Lepisosteus oculatus: one gene and its partner. The protein of the gene in region 1 binds, or shares a complex with, the protein of each later gene. Links are inferred from orthologs where the notes say so. Each region holds a gene or a part of one and is shown in the gene's direction. Other genes may lie near its edges.

What was found.
Region 2: ercc2 (region 1) and polr2d share a complex: the UniProt entries of both Homo sapiens proteins name them as parts of the TBP-based Pol II pre-initiation complex. The link is inferred for Lepisosteus oculatus from reciprocal best matches to the Homo sapiens genes ERCC2 and POLR2D.

Annotation. Positions count from the first base shown.
Region 1 is NC_090698.1:5,271,291-5,279,145, reverse strand, and holds the start of ercc2 (general transcription and DNA repair factor IIH helicase subunit XPD), read left to right. Parts: upstream 1-4,802; 5' UTR 4,803-5,005; coding exon 5,006-5,010; intron 5,011-5,099; coding exon 5,100-5,199; intron 5,200-5,637; coding exon 5,638-5,715; intron 5,716-5,856; coding exon 5,857-5,919; intron 5,920-6,015; coding exon 6,016-6,129; intron 6,130-6,229; coding exon 6,230-6,346; intron 6,347-7,802; coding exon 7,803-7,855. Other genes in the region: cdc42 effector protein 2, read left to right, coding at 1-358. UniProt on the Homo sapiens protein: ATP-dependent 5'-3' DNA helicase. Component of the general transcription and DNA repair factor IIH (TFIIH) core complex, not absolutely essential for minimal transcription in vitro.
Region 2 is NC_090708.1:19,212,839-19,220,803, forward strand, and holds polr2d (DNA-directed RNA polymerase II subunit RPB4), read left to right. Parts: upstream 1-4,764; 5' UTR 4,765-4,998; coding exon 4,999-5,077; intron 5,078-5,859; coding exon 5,860-6,040; intron 6,041-6,262; coding exon 6,263-6,358; intron 6,359-7,097; coding exon 7,098-7,176; 3' UTR 7,177-7,655; downstream 7,656-7,965. Other genes in the region: ilkap (integrin-linked kinase-associated serine/threonine phosphatase 2C), read right to left, coding at 617-723, 1,380-1,497, 2,661-2,783, 3,728-3,770. UniProt on the Homo sapiens protein: Core component of RNA polymerase II (Pol II), a DNA-dependent RNA polymerase which synthesizes mRNA precursors and many functional non-coding RNAs using the four ribonucleoside triphosphates as substrates.

The DNA of each region.
Region 1 (7,855 bases):
CATGTCCGTGAGCTGCGAGGGGCCCCGCGTCGTCTACAGCGACCCCGAGCTCAGCCACTCGGCCTCCATCCCGGCGTTCGGCCGCCTGGTGGCGTCCTCCGGCTCCTTCTCCGAGGCGTCCTCCGAGGACTCGGTGCTGGGGGTCGGCCCGCCCCTGGACGCCAGGCGGGGGCTCAGCCTCGACTCGGACGCGGGCCTGAGCAACGAGGACCTGCAGAGCGAGCGCAGCGAGTCCCCCGGGGTCCCCAACTCCGAGTCCCTGCTGGGGCTGGACCTGGACTTGGGGCCGTCCATCCTGGAGGACGTGCTGAGGATCATGGACCAGTACAAGGCGCAGGACGGGGACTACGAGCTGTGACACCTCACCCTGGCTGCCGATTCCTTTGTCATGGACTTGATGATGAGCTACCTGCGTTACCAATAGTGTAGAAAAAACCTGAAATGCCACCGTAACCCCAGAGGTTTGAGAGGAGCAGGACACAACTAGTGACACAGATTTGATATAACTGAGGGGGGCTTCGAGGCAGATGAGGACACAATTTAAATATGCTGCCATATTCTTGTGCTCGCCAATACACGTCTGCTCCGCAGCTCTGAGAAAACCTCATGGTGGCTTTTTAACGGAACCCAGCCCCACTGTGACGCTCGGATATACTCCTCAATGTTACAAAAACAACTCCTGTGGTGTCAGCCAGCCCTGTGCGTCCGCACTCGCAAAAGCACAAGTGACACCGCGCTGCTGCTCCGTTCTGTGCTGGTGGTGCACCGCGCACACCTGATCACACCACACCACCTTCCGAGCTCCCTGCTTCTCGGCTTCAGCCAGTGAGAGGACGTGGGGCAGGCAGCACATTGAGCCCTGAGAAAGACTCTGCCCTGCTTCAGGTGCTGCCCCTGCTCACGAAATGCAACCTTACTTGTTTCTCCACAGCCAGGGGCTTGAGCGATGAAGGACAGAGAGACACAGAGACTGCGCCTGTGTGGATGAAATTACTGAAAAGACGGAAGGTGGTGGAATCAGGTGATCTTAAACACTTGTCATCTGCTAGGAATCTAAAAGAGATCCTTAAGGCGTGAGCAAGAAGTTCTCAAATGATATTTTCCTTTTCTACAAAACTAACAAAGACGTGAAATGAAAACTGAGCAATGCTACTGAGCTGTATCTAGACCGAAACTTGGAATTATTTTGTGAGTTTATTTTCATGCACATTGGTTTATTCGAATTTCCACCTTCCTTTTCTTTCAGCCTGAAAATGGCAGCAGTCTTTTTACATGAAATACAACCGATTTACTGATGTGAGAATCACGTGTACAAAAAACACCATCTCGTGGGCCTGTGTTTAAAATGTGTGTTAGTCTGTTACTCCTTGACCAGGAAACTGTGACTCCAGAGGCATGGAAAGATGACTCGCACTGCACAGCAGTTTTAATCCATTTCGGGGTGTAAAATCAAATATTGGACACATCCGTTTCAAAGTGTCAATTTATCTGTTGAGTTTCAGACAGATTAAGGTCACAATGAAACATTCTGAGTTTCTCTGTTGTTGGATTGAGTACTACAGCTTTTGCTTTGTAAAACTGGGATGTGGCTCATACTGCGATGCATTGGGAGTCTTTATTCCACCTCTGAAATATATCAAAATGTTCAATCACCTGACCATAACTGGACGATGAATCAACACAGGAAGATGGTGATTATTCTACGCACTCAGAAATCTTGCATGGACATATATACTGAAATCACTATTCAAAATAATTTATAAGGACATTTAGTGCATTTATCTCTTTAGAGGATAAGATGGGAAGTACTGTTTACAAATTCTAAAAGCTGGCATAAATATATATATTTATTTTATTGGAAGACTTTCGATAGTTTTAACAAACCGTTCACCGGTCCAGTTCAACAGTTCAACTGTGGTTGCCGAGCAGTACTACACTTGGCTCGTACGGCCATCTAGTGGAAGGAGAGGGTAGTACACCTGGTAATTGGTCGGTACCAGAAGCGGCCTGGAGAAGCGCAGCTCTCTTGCTTTTCTGAAGGTCACGAAATCGACACATTTAAAACCTGAAACGACCGAATAATCCTAAAAGCTATGCCTTAAAGCGAAGCCGGTTCATTTTCTTCATTTTTTTCTTGGCAGGACTGTGTGTTGAGACTGAGTTTTGCTACTGGGATGTGGTGACAGATGGAAAGAAATGATTTCTGTTGTAATTCTGCATTTTTTTAAATCTCCGTTAATGTTCACAATCTGTTTTGATTTCTGAATGTTTTAAGACGTGTTTCAGGCCCTGCTTGAGTTTAATACATTTTCCATCACTATTCTGGGGATTCTAATAATTGCACAGATCTAAGCACTGGGGGAGAGGTTTGATGTGCTCAGCTCAGTGGGTAATAGCATGATGAAGATGCTGATGATGACGAAGATGAGGTGTGTAAGAGTTCAGCCGGAATGCAGACCAGACGACTGCTTGGAGGAATGTGACTGGATACTGTTGCCTTTCAATGGATTGCTGGGAACTAAAATGAAACTGTCGTCTGGGAAGTAGGTATCTGCTGTGCTGTGGACTGTGCAAGGTAGATGAAGGAGAGGAGAAAGTCCAAATAAATGCGTGGAAAAAAGAAAGAGACAATCAAGGAAAAATGTTTTTTTGAAACGATGATTTTCTGTTCTGGATGGAACATTATTTCGCAGTTTGTGTTACGTTCTGATTGACATGAAGAGGAACACCATGCAAGTGACTGTTGCAGTTATTTATTCTGAAATCTTCAGCTCAAGGCAAGCGGGGCGTCTAAAGTCAGTAACATGTCGCAGCGAACATTTCTCTAGTTTCAGAAGTTGCCCTTCCTCAGCGTGGTGTGACATCTGTCTCTGTAGTACAAAATGACAACCTTTTTTAAAACAAAAAATGTTTCTATATGTATTTAGCCTCGGTATTGAGGTCAATAAATATGAATGTTAAAGCAGACGTCACTCCAAATTTGTATGTTTTTCTTGCTGTTTTTTTTTTTTGGCTTCCACATCTCTTTACCTATGTTCCCTCTTCATCTTTTGAATCAGTGAGATGATCAGATACTGGCTGTGACACAAACCACGTCTCACATTATGAGAAGATACCGCAGCTCTGGTTCAGAAGCACCAACTGTGCAAACACTAGTGAACCATGTGATATCAACAGGAGAAGACTCCTAAGCACCTATGCACCTAACGCCACACCAAGCACAAAAGAGAGCACACACAAACACATCAGGATCTGGTGCAGCTTGGCCTTGTGCATAACCCAGGGTGCAGTACATGCACTTGCCCCCTGTTTTGTCTCCTTATTCAAGCCAGGCCCTCTCGCTATTCCTGGCTCAGCACTGGGAGATGGACACCCAGAAGCCCGCCGTCCAGCGGGTCCAGGAGAGATCGCGGTGTCCTGCCCGTCTGAGTCCGGGGCTGGGAGCGCCTGGCCTCCTTACCTTCTGTACAGCTCCTCCAGCCCTGTTATTGAGCAGATCCACCTCGAGGGTCAAGGCCTGCTCCTACACTCCTCTGGTGCCTGAAATGTGGTTCAGGCTGCCCCTCCCTCCACTCTGCCGTCTCTGTGAAGAACTGGCCCTTTAAACTAAAACAATAGACAGGGTTGATTGCTTTAGGAATGAAACAGACTTCAACTAAAAAAAAATGAACCAAAGAGACGTTTTAGTGTGGCTTGACAGTGACTGGTTTAATAATCTTTTCATATCACTCTGCAACTCACAGCTGGCAGCCCACTGAAGCTCAGCAGGTGTGAGCCTGGTCAGTACCTGGATGGGAGACTCCTGGGAAAAACTAAGGTTGCTGCTGGAAGAGGTGTTAGTGGGGCCAGCAGGGGGCGCTCACCCTGTGGTCTGTGTGGGTCCTAATGTCCCAGTACAGTGACGGGGACACTATACTGTAAAAAGGCGCTGTCCTTCGGATGAGACGTAAAACCGAGGTCCTGACTCTGTGGTCATTAAAAACCCCAGGGCATTACTCGAAAAGAATAGGGGTGTTACCCCGGTGTCCTGGCCAAATTTCCCTCTGGACTTTACCACTCATGGCCTCCTAATAATCCCCATCTCTGAACTGGCTTCATCACTCTCTTCTCCTCCCACTGAGAGCTGGTGTGTGGGGAGAGGACTGGTGCACTATGGCTGCTGTCACATCATCCAGGTGGGGCTGCACACTGGTGGGGGTGGAGGGGATCCCCATTACCTGTAAAGCACTTTGTGTGGAGTGTCCAGAAAAGCACTATTTAAGTGTAAGCAATTATTTTATTTTTTTTCTAAAGAAGAGCTGCAAGCCGTGTTTCAGAAACATGTTGGTGTTAGTAAGCTTTGCAGGGTGTTCCCATACGTTCTCCAAATAAAAAAATGCAGTAATCATTTACACAAAAGTCATATTCCTAATTAAAACCTATAGGCGGATAATTCATAAAGTTTGATTATAAATCTACAAACATCAATAAATTTGTTATTATGATTTTCTAACAAGGTCTATGTTCCTTGTTTTTGTTTTACTTCAAAGTTGATTTGCTCAGTAACTGGATTTTTATAGACGGCTGGAAATTTTTCAGTCCGTGCCAACAGGGAAAGCTAGACTTCTCTGGCCTCGACTATTCAGGTCTAATATTAGCAACAAGACACAACTTTTTATATTGGTATTGATTAGTCAGGTCTAGATTTCGGGGCGCACTAACCAGGGGGCGGGGAAGAAGTGTGATTGACATCGAGATCACCCATTTAGCAACTCCTATTGCGTCTCCTCCAAAGACTAAGTGACCAATCGTGGGCGCGCTAGGAGGGATTACGTCCATCGAGGGGGATAGGTTGGGCAGTGACAGTGGAATCACACGTGAATAAACAGAAAAGCAAGAGCGGAGTTATCAACGTGCTTTTAATTTCTTTAGTATTATCTTTTGTTTATCTCTAGTATTACGATAGGCTTGTCGAGCCTACAACAGCAAGAAGAAAATCGCCCGTCGCCGGACGCAAGCCGTAACAATGAAGTGTGTACTTCTGGAGTCTCTCGCCGCAGCTGAAGGGTCGGGTAACTTGAGAGTCGGGGCGCTAAGTTTTCATCTTCTTGTTTTTGCAGGCTGAATATTGATGGCTTGCTGGTCTACTTCCCCTATGACTATATCTACCCGGAGCAGTACTCCTACATGCTGGAGCTGAAGAGAACCCTCGACGCCAAGGTAAGCTCTCCTTCTGTACCTGCAGCGCGGATGCAAGCGTCGCACCCCGGTCTTTCTCGTCTCTCCGCTGTCTGGTCGCGTCCGGCTGCTTCAGCTTTTGCGTGTTGGGTTGGAGGAGGCGGTGAGGGTGTTGGGAGATCGGCGCTCTGTAATCCCCGCGTCCATCAATCTGGCTCACTCGAACGGTATTTAAAAGTTATTTTCATAAACCGAAACGGACCCGATGGAGTCACAGTCTTTAAAGAAAAAGCAGCAACCGGAATACCTCGCGTCTGTACGTGGAATACACGGCTTCTGTGGGCTTTAGTTAGGATCCGCTGCTCTCTGGCGTGTGAATGTCGAGACTGCCCTTGCAGTGCAGCTGGGATCGGTTTGCTTTGGCGGCCAGGACGGGGGACAGCTGTGTTCATGTTCGTGTTTGACCTCGTGTCTCTGTAGGGCCACGGGGTGCTGGAGATGCCCTCGGGCACCGGCAAGACCATCTCCCTGCTGTCGCTGATCGTCGCCTACCAGCAGGTGAGTGTCTCCCCTCTCCTGGGAGGGCTGTCCTGCTGGGGCCCGATCCCTGGCGGATTGGCTCTTGTGTGCCGCTTGTGTTAACTTTGCTGGTTTGTGGTCGACACGCCTGTGTGTGTGATCCCTCTTCCTGCTCCTCAGACCTATCCCCTGGAGGTCTCCAAGCTGATCTACTGCTCCCGCACTGTGCCTGAGATCGAGAAGGTGAGTCGGAGTGGATTCAGATTTTTTGGAAACGGCCGCCGGGTTTTAAGCTGCGCTTTTCCTCACCCTGTGCCCGGCTCTCCCCCCGTGTCTCAGGTGGTCGAGGAGCTGAGGAAGCTGATGGAGTTCTACGCCAAGGAGACGGGCAGACAGAGCAACTTCCTGGCCTTGGCCCTGTCTTCCCGCAAAAACCTCTGTGTGCACCCTGAGGTCAGGACGCCTGGCCCCTGGCCCCTGCCCCCTGCCGCCTGCCCCCCCTGCCCCCTGCCCGTCCCGCTCCCCTGACTCTCCTCCTCCCTGTCCCGCCCAGGTGAGCTCGCTGCGATTCGGGAAGGAGGTGGATGGGAAGTGCCACAGCCTGACGGCCTCGTACATCCGCGCCCAGCGCCACGGCAACCCCTCCCTGCCTTCCTGCCGCTTCTACGAGGTGAGCGGGCTGGGGGGGGTGCTCAGGCTCAGGTGGGGAGAAGTAGAGAACAGTACTGAGCTGGGGGGGGGGTTATTTTCAACGGGTTTGTTAACAGGAGGAAGTCGAAGATCTCCTGCTCTCACGGGGACGCGGGGCAGAACTACGCGTCTGGGCTACGGCAGCTGGCCTGTCCTGTTCACCCTGCAGGAGTCCAGGGAAGGCGTTTGACGCAGGTGGTGGTTTGTTTTAATGCCTGAAGGCCGCACGCGCCTTGTGGTGGCGACAAATGCCCAAGGAGAGCGAAGCAGCCTCCACAGTTTCTCCACAGTTGGCCACAGAGCCGATTTGTGCAGCAGTTGACAATATCGCAGCAAAGGAACAAGTAAGAGGTTTATTCCATGCTGAAAAAAAGAAGAAGAGAAGAAAGAAAACACAACATTTCGGCCGTGGAGCCTTCTTCAAGTGTGAGCAGCTGACCATGAAGGAAGAGGAAAAGAAAAACTCCAAGTTCTCGGCGTCCATGGCCCAGTGATCGTCCCCGTTCAAGATCTGGGTTTGTGGGACATCAATCATTTAATGTTCCACAAGCCCAGGTTTCCACACACTTAGTGATACACAGAGTTCAGCCATGAGAAAGACAATAACTACTCGCAGCTGCCAGCATTTTGTTATATAGTGCTTTTTTTTTGCATGTAGCGTCTGGATCTGGGCTCTCAGGTGAATAGGAGTGAAAATGATGTAAAATGAGTGCCCAAGCTAAACCTGAAAGTTCAGTACTTATTGCTGCCATGGACTGCTAAAGAATTGCTCAGCCAAATTCTGTGTGGAGATGGTGGTGTACTCTTTAGTTTGATGTTTCATGTCTCAAGGAGAAGACTGAAGGAGGACATTGCACTTGGATGGTGGAGGGCAGGATCCCAGCCTCACAGGGCTGGCTTGGCACTCTCTGGAAGTTCATCCCTGCTGGTGCACGGGGAGATCCGGATCGAAATACGGACAGATATCTGTCCCACTGGGATAGGGATATAGACAGTGTTGGAGGATTCTCCATGCTTGCATTCACCCACTGACCCTAGGAAGCAAAGAGTGCTAGCTGCCAAAGTTCTGAATACCGCTGCATATTGCTGTCGGACAATAACTGTGATTCTGGTAGGGTCAATTCCGGACCTGGAGTGCTATCTGCATGGATTTTGTATGTTCTCCCTGTGTGCGTTTGGGTTTCCTTCAGGCACTCCAGCTTCCTCCCACAGTCCAAAGACATGCTGGATTCATTGGATTCTAGGAACTCTGGCTTTCACCCTTCACCCCCTATTTCCATAAAGTAATGTCCCTGTTCCCAGATCACCCCCATGCTGCTCTCCTGTCCCTGCACTCTGACGGTCCAGGAAGTGACTGAGACTGAAAAGGGGACAGTCGGGTTGAATTAGAACGCAAGAGGGGACTAACTTCCTGCCTCCCTTCTGTGCGTCCTCAGGAGTTTGATGCCCTTGGCCGACAGGTGCCCATTCCCGCGGGCATCTATAACCT
Region 2 (7,965 bases), on another chromosome or scaffold:
GCAGAGCACAGTGACGAAGAGCAAGGTGCAAAATTCATTTCTTATGATTTTGCAAGAATATTTATCATATTTATAATTAATTTCATGACATTCCTGGTAATTTATAATACATATTCCCTCTCTATACACACATCAATTGAAATAATGAGATTGGTTATTTTATTTGGATTTGTAAAATCTTTACATTTTTTGAAGCTTAATTATTTTCTCCTCAAATCTGTCAACCTAGTCGACTGCTTTGTTCACCAAGGACATGCCGGCCATGACTGTGTGAGATTTTTACTCCAAAGCACGAGACCATGAGATCTGGTCCCACTGCTTCAGACCTGAGACTATGCAAGTACATACATCACAGCTGCCAGCTGATCCTGCAGTGTATTACTCTTGTGTGCATTTTGTCAAGTGTTCAAACATTTGTTTGGGCTGTATACAACTTTGGGAAACCCCAACACTATTCTCTAATATTTTGCCGTTGCAATACGAGTCCCACCCTGTCATTCTCTCTGAAGTCCTGCAGGTCTTACTTAGGCCGAGTTTCACTTTGGGGTGTAAAAACTGGTGTAAAATGGCAAGTGAATATGAGTAGTAACAGACTAAAAGAAAGAGGGCTGCATACCTTTGGGGAACTTGAGGGCTAGGTTGAGATGGAGATTTTGGGCAGCGTACCTAGATGCCCGGCTTCCACCATGCCCATCGAAGACTGCAAAGTATGCCAAGTGTGATCTAGGATAAACGGAAGAAAACCTCAAAAAAAGATTCGCCAAAAACATCCCAATGAATTGAGATTTAGCACTCCCTGGGCACTATGCTAACCTGGCAGCTCCTTTTTTCCCCATGTGATGCACATTTAGAGCAAAACCAAAGGCAAGGTTTTGCCCTTTGCCTTGTTTCGATTTTTGATGTGTCTGAGCTTAGGGTGATATGGTGGAACAGTGGCAGCGCTGGAATCCTGGGGTCAATCCCAGAACCAACGTGCTACCTCTGTGGAGTTTGTGTGTTCTTCTCGTGCTTGTATGGGTTTCCTCCGGCTTCCTCCCAAAGTCCAAAAACATTCTGGTAAGTTAACTGGCTACTGGAAAAACTGTCCCTGGTGTGTGTATGTGTGTGCCCTGTGATGAACTGGTGATCTGTCCAGGGTGTACCCTGCCTTATGTGCCCGTTCCTTGCCAGGATAGGCTCCAGCTCCCCCACTACCCTGAATTGGATGAAGCCATTAAGAGGAGGGACCGATGTGCCTGAACTCCTGAAGTAAAATGAAGTTTTCAGCCCAAAATACTCCTGAAAACCTTTCATGATTCAAAGCATCCAAAGTCTGCGAGATGTCCTAAAGTCAGCCGTGTGGCAGTGGGATCAAGTGAGCTGCTGGGAAGGTCACTCACATTTGGGACGGCAGCGAAGACACCCGAGACGAAAAGTCGGGCAGAATAACGTGGGCGTCCTGCATCTCCTCCCTCTCTCCCTTCCGTGCCGCCACATAGCCCTTCAGTCTGGGGATTCCTGGAACAGACAGCACACACACAAAGGCACGCTGGCTGTCAAACTCCTGCTGTTATCCTAAATCCCCTTGTGGCCACTGTAAAAAAAGACAGATCACAGATTTACATCCACACTCCCCATAACATTACCCCTTCTTCACAACTCAATGGTACGAGCTTGTTGTTTGTTGTTTGCACTTCACTCTTTTGCACTGTCTGCTCATCTTGTCTGTCTAAACCCTCCAGCCCACAGTAGCTTTGGGTTGTATTGATCCTGGGAGCTGATATTTGCACCAAAGTCTTTGCTGTCACAAGCTTTAGAACAGATATACATCACTCTATCCTATATCGTATTCTGTTAAACTATGCTAAAAAAATAGTTTATCACTGTGGATCTAATAGCTTTTTTCTTATAATCTCTCCATTCATATTTTAAAATGCTTTACTAGATATCATTAATTCAAAGGTGGAAATTAATCAGAGTAAACAACAAGCAGGGACATTCCAAAACACATCGTCCTAGTGTTCAATCTATATCCCTATCAATCCCTGACTGTTATTACTTGGTTCTAAGAGTATGTCTTAAAAAAAGGTTTAGAGTTTTAAAGAAGGCAAGAAGCAGGCGGACAGTAGGTTACGCCCTGGACAGGACACCAGTCCATCGCAGGGCACACTCAGACACAGACGCACACACACTCACACCAGTGCCGACTTTCCCAGGAGACAATTAACCTACTAGCATGTCTTTGGACCGTGGGAGGAAACCAGAAACTGGAGAGAACATACAAACTCCACGCAGATAGCACCCCAGTAACTGAACCCAGGGCCCCAGAGCTGTGAAGCTGCATGCTAACCACTGTGCTAAAGTGTCATCCTTCTATGAAAAGACGGATGAAAACATCATAATAAAACTACATTCTGTGTTAGGAAAATCGAAATTATTGTGTGCTATTAAAGTTCTGTACCTCCGATCCGTGGAAGAAAGGTTAATGCACTATATTCCAAGAACACCAGAACTTGTTTTGTGGAGGGAAGGTACAGTAGAAGTGGCTGGCCATCAACACTTTGCTGCTAACGTCTATAACGAAGACTATGCTGTGTGCAATCAAGGAAGGCAGCCAGAGCACCAGACCCCCCACCCCCCAGCCCCAGGTGAGGAACAGGGGTGTGGACATGGCTGAAAACCTTTACAAACTTTCTTTTCCTCCAGCTGTTGCTCTGTGCCGTTGCTTTCAGTGTCTAGTTTCCTCTTCTCTGTCTTGGGCTTTTCCTCAGTCTTGGAGTCTTTGGAAGAACCTGTGTCTGCTGCTAAAAGAATAAAAAGGAGGGATTTTTATTGAAGGGACCCAACAAATCAGGGATTCTGATCATGTACCAGGCATCATATTTATATATATTGTAATTGTGCAGACTATTATGTATATTTCCACACATCTATGACCTTATACCACAGTTTGTCTGCAGAATTTCCCATCACTGAGCTCAACTGCTTTCAAACAATGGCCTTTAAAACTACATAAAGATACATGTTTTTCTAGTAATACATGTACTGGTTTCACCACTTCCAATTAATTCTCCTAGTCCAATCGTTTAAATCGACGTTAGGCAGTCCAAATGCTCTTTATCCGTGAAAATGCAGCTGAATGTGCTGAATGTTTCGGCGTCCGTTGTACCGTTTTTAAATACCAAATTCACAATTACCTAATCCCCTTTATAAAGTACAAAGTAAACGATCTAACACAAAGAATCAGTCTTGACAGGGAATTCGGTCGATGTGCTTTTGCTACCAAATCACAACGTTGCATACACTATTTCATTCTTTACTTCTTAAACCATAAAAACTACATATACTATAGTCATGAAGTGTCAAACCTCGCATAAGTCATAAAATAAAGTTTATCTTCGTCAAATTCACATACTGCAGATCACTGGTTTCTTTAGCCGAGGAACATGCTCAGATCTACGGTTACAGCCTTCACGCCAGGTCGGGGATTTGCGCTCACGAGTTTCACTTTCAGGCCTGTCGTCCTTTAGAGCGGTTTTAGTAGTGAAAACAGCATTTTGAATTATCTTCAACTCTTTCCATATCAAAATACTTTCATCAACGACGAAAAGGGTGGTACTATGAATTTTAAAAGCTTATTAGTTTTACTTATATAAATCCAGTTACTACCAAAGTGCCCTGTCTCCTACACAGCCTAAAATACAAAGTATGTTTTAAAAATAAAATACAAATGACAGATATCCTTTACCTGTAGTTTGTGTGGGTTCGGGAAGGTCTCCAAACAAATCCATCCCGTCTTACAGACGAGCTATGGGCTCGGTCCCTCAACACAAAAGCGGCTGCTATTTTTCTTGAGCCCCTGAGGCTTTGGGAAAGCTGAAACGCTCCTCTGCCCCTTTTCAGAAAAGAAACTCTCGTGTCACCTAGTGAGAACCCAAACCACAATTCACCAAGGAAAACTCAAAATCACAGCGAGATCCGGATCCGCATATGACGAGGGTTTCAGTATTTTTGCTCCGATCAAAGCGAAACGGTTTCCCTCCGCTCGGGCCCAGTATCGCTTCCGAGAGCGTTGCAGCTGGGTGTCGCTGTAGGCCTGGACATACAGCGCCAAGGCCGCGCCAGCACTGTTTTAACCTATAGTTACCACCATCTGATAACAAGCGTTGGTGGTATAGTGGTGAGCATAGCTGCCTTCCAAGCAGTTGACCCGGGTTCGATTCCCGGCCAACGCAGTAATATTTTCCCCCTCGTTTTTAAATTCTAGTAATGTATGAAATATGTTATTATTGGACATTTATGTGAGTACTGTAAATGTTGGGTAATTATTTCTGTGCTTTGGCAGCATTGTAAGTCATCGGTCAAGCCAATAAAGCTCTTTTCAAATTTGAATTTAAAAAAAAGACTGACCGCTGATTTACATTCAGCCAATGGACGATAAAAAAACACATACTTCTTGTACTATCCAGGGGGCGAAGAATAGATTAAAAATTACAGTTCACAACAAGAGAGTCATGAGCAACAGAATACCCCCTCCCCGCAAAAACGTGCAGCAATAACAACAAAACAGGGTGATACTGTCTCACATTAATGTTTTATGTGATGTCTGTATTATATAAATGTATGTAGCGTTGCATTAATTGCATCTGCCTTGGCAACACCGTAATTCATCGGATATGCCAATAAAGCTCTTTGAATTGGAATATTACCTTTTGCAGCCCATGCCGCCTCTTGGTGAGACCTCCAACCGACAGGGGCGCTGTCTTGTGAAGCCCCAATGAGTTCACCCATCATACTTTTGTTTTGTGTTTAGGTGTTCATGACAGGCATGGCGATGCGTGCTGTTGAGTGTACCGGGATAATTACAGCGCTACAGTTGTCTGCATTCTGAGCATATCTCCGTACGCAACCTTTCTGAATTTCGCTGCCAATTTGTTTAGATAATTTCTGGTTTACAGATACCCGTTTGTAAGTGGTCGCTGGGGCCTACTCAGGCTGCCCCGGGTCTTGATTCGGACGATGGCGGCAGGAGGAGGCACTGGACCCCCGCAGGTCGGAGATGTGGAGGAGGACGCCTCGCAACTGCTCTTCCCTAAAGGTACCAGCCGCCGCCACGGGGATTCGTGTGCTCTTTGGAGGTGTAAACACCGAACTGCTGGGGAAATGAAAAGCACGAAATGGGTCTTAAAGTTAAAAAAACTTTTTATGCTTAACATTTTTTAGGGTTAGGGATAGTCCGCGCAGAATATTAAATTGGATCTTCTGACCTGAACAGTTTTAATGGCCTCACTGATGCTGGTATAGAGAATACTATAAAATAACACGGTCTTCTGTAGCGGTGGTGCGCATACAGCTGCTGTCCTCCGCCTCCGCATAGTGACCAAACTTGAACTAATCATACTAAGCTTAATTAGACCTATTTAAGACATTAAGGATACGAAGAGCACTAAGAAATCTAATGGATTCTGGCCCCTGAGGGCTGCAATTCTTGCTGACCAGAAGTGAAAAGCGATCAAGCGGAGTTAGGCTTACTGACAAAAAAAAATAGTATTTACTAAAAACAAGTTGGCCTGCAGTAAGGGTCTGTAACCCTTGTCTTGGAAAGCCACAGTCCTGCGAGTTTTATAAGCCGTTAAATTGTCCCTGAGGTGAGATCAGGAAAATTATCCAATTAGTGATTCAGAGCTCAGCTGGAAAGAAACCCAGAAGAGACCCTGGCTCCTTTTGCCAGCATGTGTGTTTACTGTGCAGTCAGATATAGGAATATGAGTGTGGGCCAGATAAAACCCGAAACGGATCGGGCCGCTCCGCACCCGGCGTCTTTTTAAGTGTTGCTGCTGGTGTCCCTAACGCACGCCCACCTCCTCTCCCCCCCCGCAGAGTTCGAGAACGCCGAGACGCTGCTGAACTCGGAGGTGCACATGCTGCTGGAGCACCGCAAGCAGCAGAACGAGAGCGCGGAGGACGAGCAGGAGCTGTCCGAGGTCTTCATGAAGACGCTCAACTACACGGCCCGCTTCAGCCGCTTCAAGAACAGGGAGACTATCGCCAGCGTGCGCAGGTCAGGCCGCGGCCACCCCTGGCTGGATCGGCTTTCCGCCCTAGAGAGTCACGTTTTTGCCTTTCAAATTGGAATCAAATCAAAGTTTATTTATCAAATGCACAACACTAAAGCATGTCTGTTCTGGAGAGGAACCAGGAAGTGCTCGGGTTAGCAGTGGGCCGTCTTCACGTGCACGTGCTGCTGTGGTCTGATCGTGTCCTGTTTCCTCCCTCGCTGCAGCCTGCTGTTGCAGAAGAAGCTCCACAAGTTCGAGCTGGCCAGCCTGGCCAACCTGTGCCCCGAAGCAGCGGAAGAAGCCAAGGCCCTTATTCCAAGGTCGGTGTTCTGCCACGGCCGCTTCTCGTCGCACGTTTGAGTCTGCTGGCCGCGCCGCCCCGTATTTCTCCTCCCAAGACCCGTTGTCTGAACACCCGGCTCTTGGAGGTCGATGCTCGGTAGAGGTTCTAAGGCACAGTCTGTGAAGACAGCAATAGAATCGACTCCTTTACAACCCAGCATAAGTATTACATTGGGATTATTGGGAAAGAAATACATTATGGAAGAACAGCTGTTCGTTTTAAGCACTCTCTTGCTCTCTTTAGACAGATCCCAGTTTTTGGAGAGTCATAATCCAGTATTTCATTGAGAGTGACATTCAAATAATCAGTTTCCAAAGACTTAGAAACTATTGTGGTCATATGCACAGTTAGGGAGCTCGTGCTTTAGTAGGCTCATGTAAAAAATGTATTTTTGTTCCACAAAAATTAAATAAACTTGGTTAAGGGTGACCTTAAGACCTGCTGGCTTCATAATTGAACACTAATACCTAAAGTTCATTGTTCAGTAGAGATAGAGGCATTGGATTTGAGGAAACAGTACTAGAAGATGACATAACAGGCTCTGCTATGGAGTGGGTCTACTTTCCTAAAAATGGCTAGTTATGGTTTGATTTTTAGACATTGCACTGGGTTGGATAAAACACTAGTGGGATAAGCAGACACGAAGATTTATTCTGTAGCTCTAATATGAGTAGAGATTTCTTACCGTCTCTTCCTCTGTTTCTCCACAATGGCAGTCTGGAGGGCCGATTTGAAGAGGAGGAACTGCAGCAGATACTGGACGACATTCAGACCAAGAGAAGCTTCCAGTATTGAATGAGACAGGAGAGCGACGAGGCAAATCTTCAGTTGTTCAGACAAAGCCACATTCTCTGACATTTTTATAAAAGGAGGCAGCTAAAACTGGTGTTCCTTGTCAGAGAGGCAGAAATCAGGACAATGTACTTCTCCTGACAACTTAGTTTTTACAAGTTTGTTGTGTAAACTGTTATTTTTCTGATTATGTTTTTATTATTTTTGAGAAAAACCTTCTCAACACCCCATCCAAGTCTTTTACAGGTCAGTAGGCAGCCTCTAGAGCAGCCAGGGTGTCATGGTTTGTACACTTAGGTATCTCTGAATTGCCAACAAGAGGAATCGGAACAATCCGAAAATCTGCATTTGTACAACTTTAATGGAAATGTTTATATTCAGTAGTTTTTACTTGATGCTAGAACAAGAAGAACAAGACACTGAGCAGAACGTATTCATTCCTTTGGTAAAATATGTTTAACAAATAAAGAAAACCTCATTCAGTTGATTTGTTTTTTAGATTTTCTGCTGAGACAGGTGAAAATAGATGTAGTTTAAAAACATTGTCTTTTGCTTTAAGTGTGTACCATTAAAAATAATGGAGACAATGTTTGTCTCTGCAGTGAGACATAATGATTGCTCAACAGGCTATAGAATTTGCTATGGAGGTATCAGAAACAGGAGAAAGGGACATTTTGCTGAAAAGTAGGGGCTGTATCCTGATTTCATCAGCTCTCAGAAATTCAGCATGGCTGGACCTGGTCAGTACTGAGATGGGAGTCCTAATGAATATCAGGATACTGCTGTTAGTGG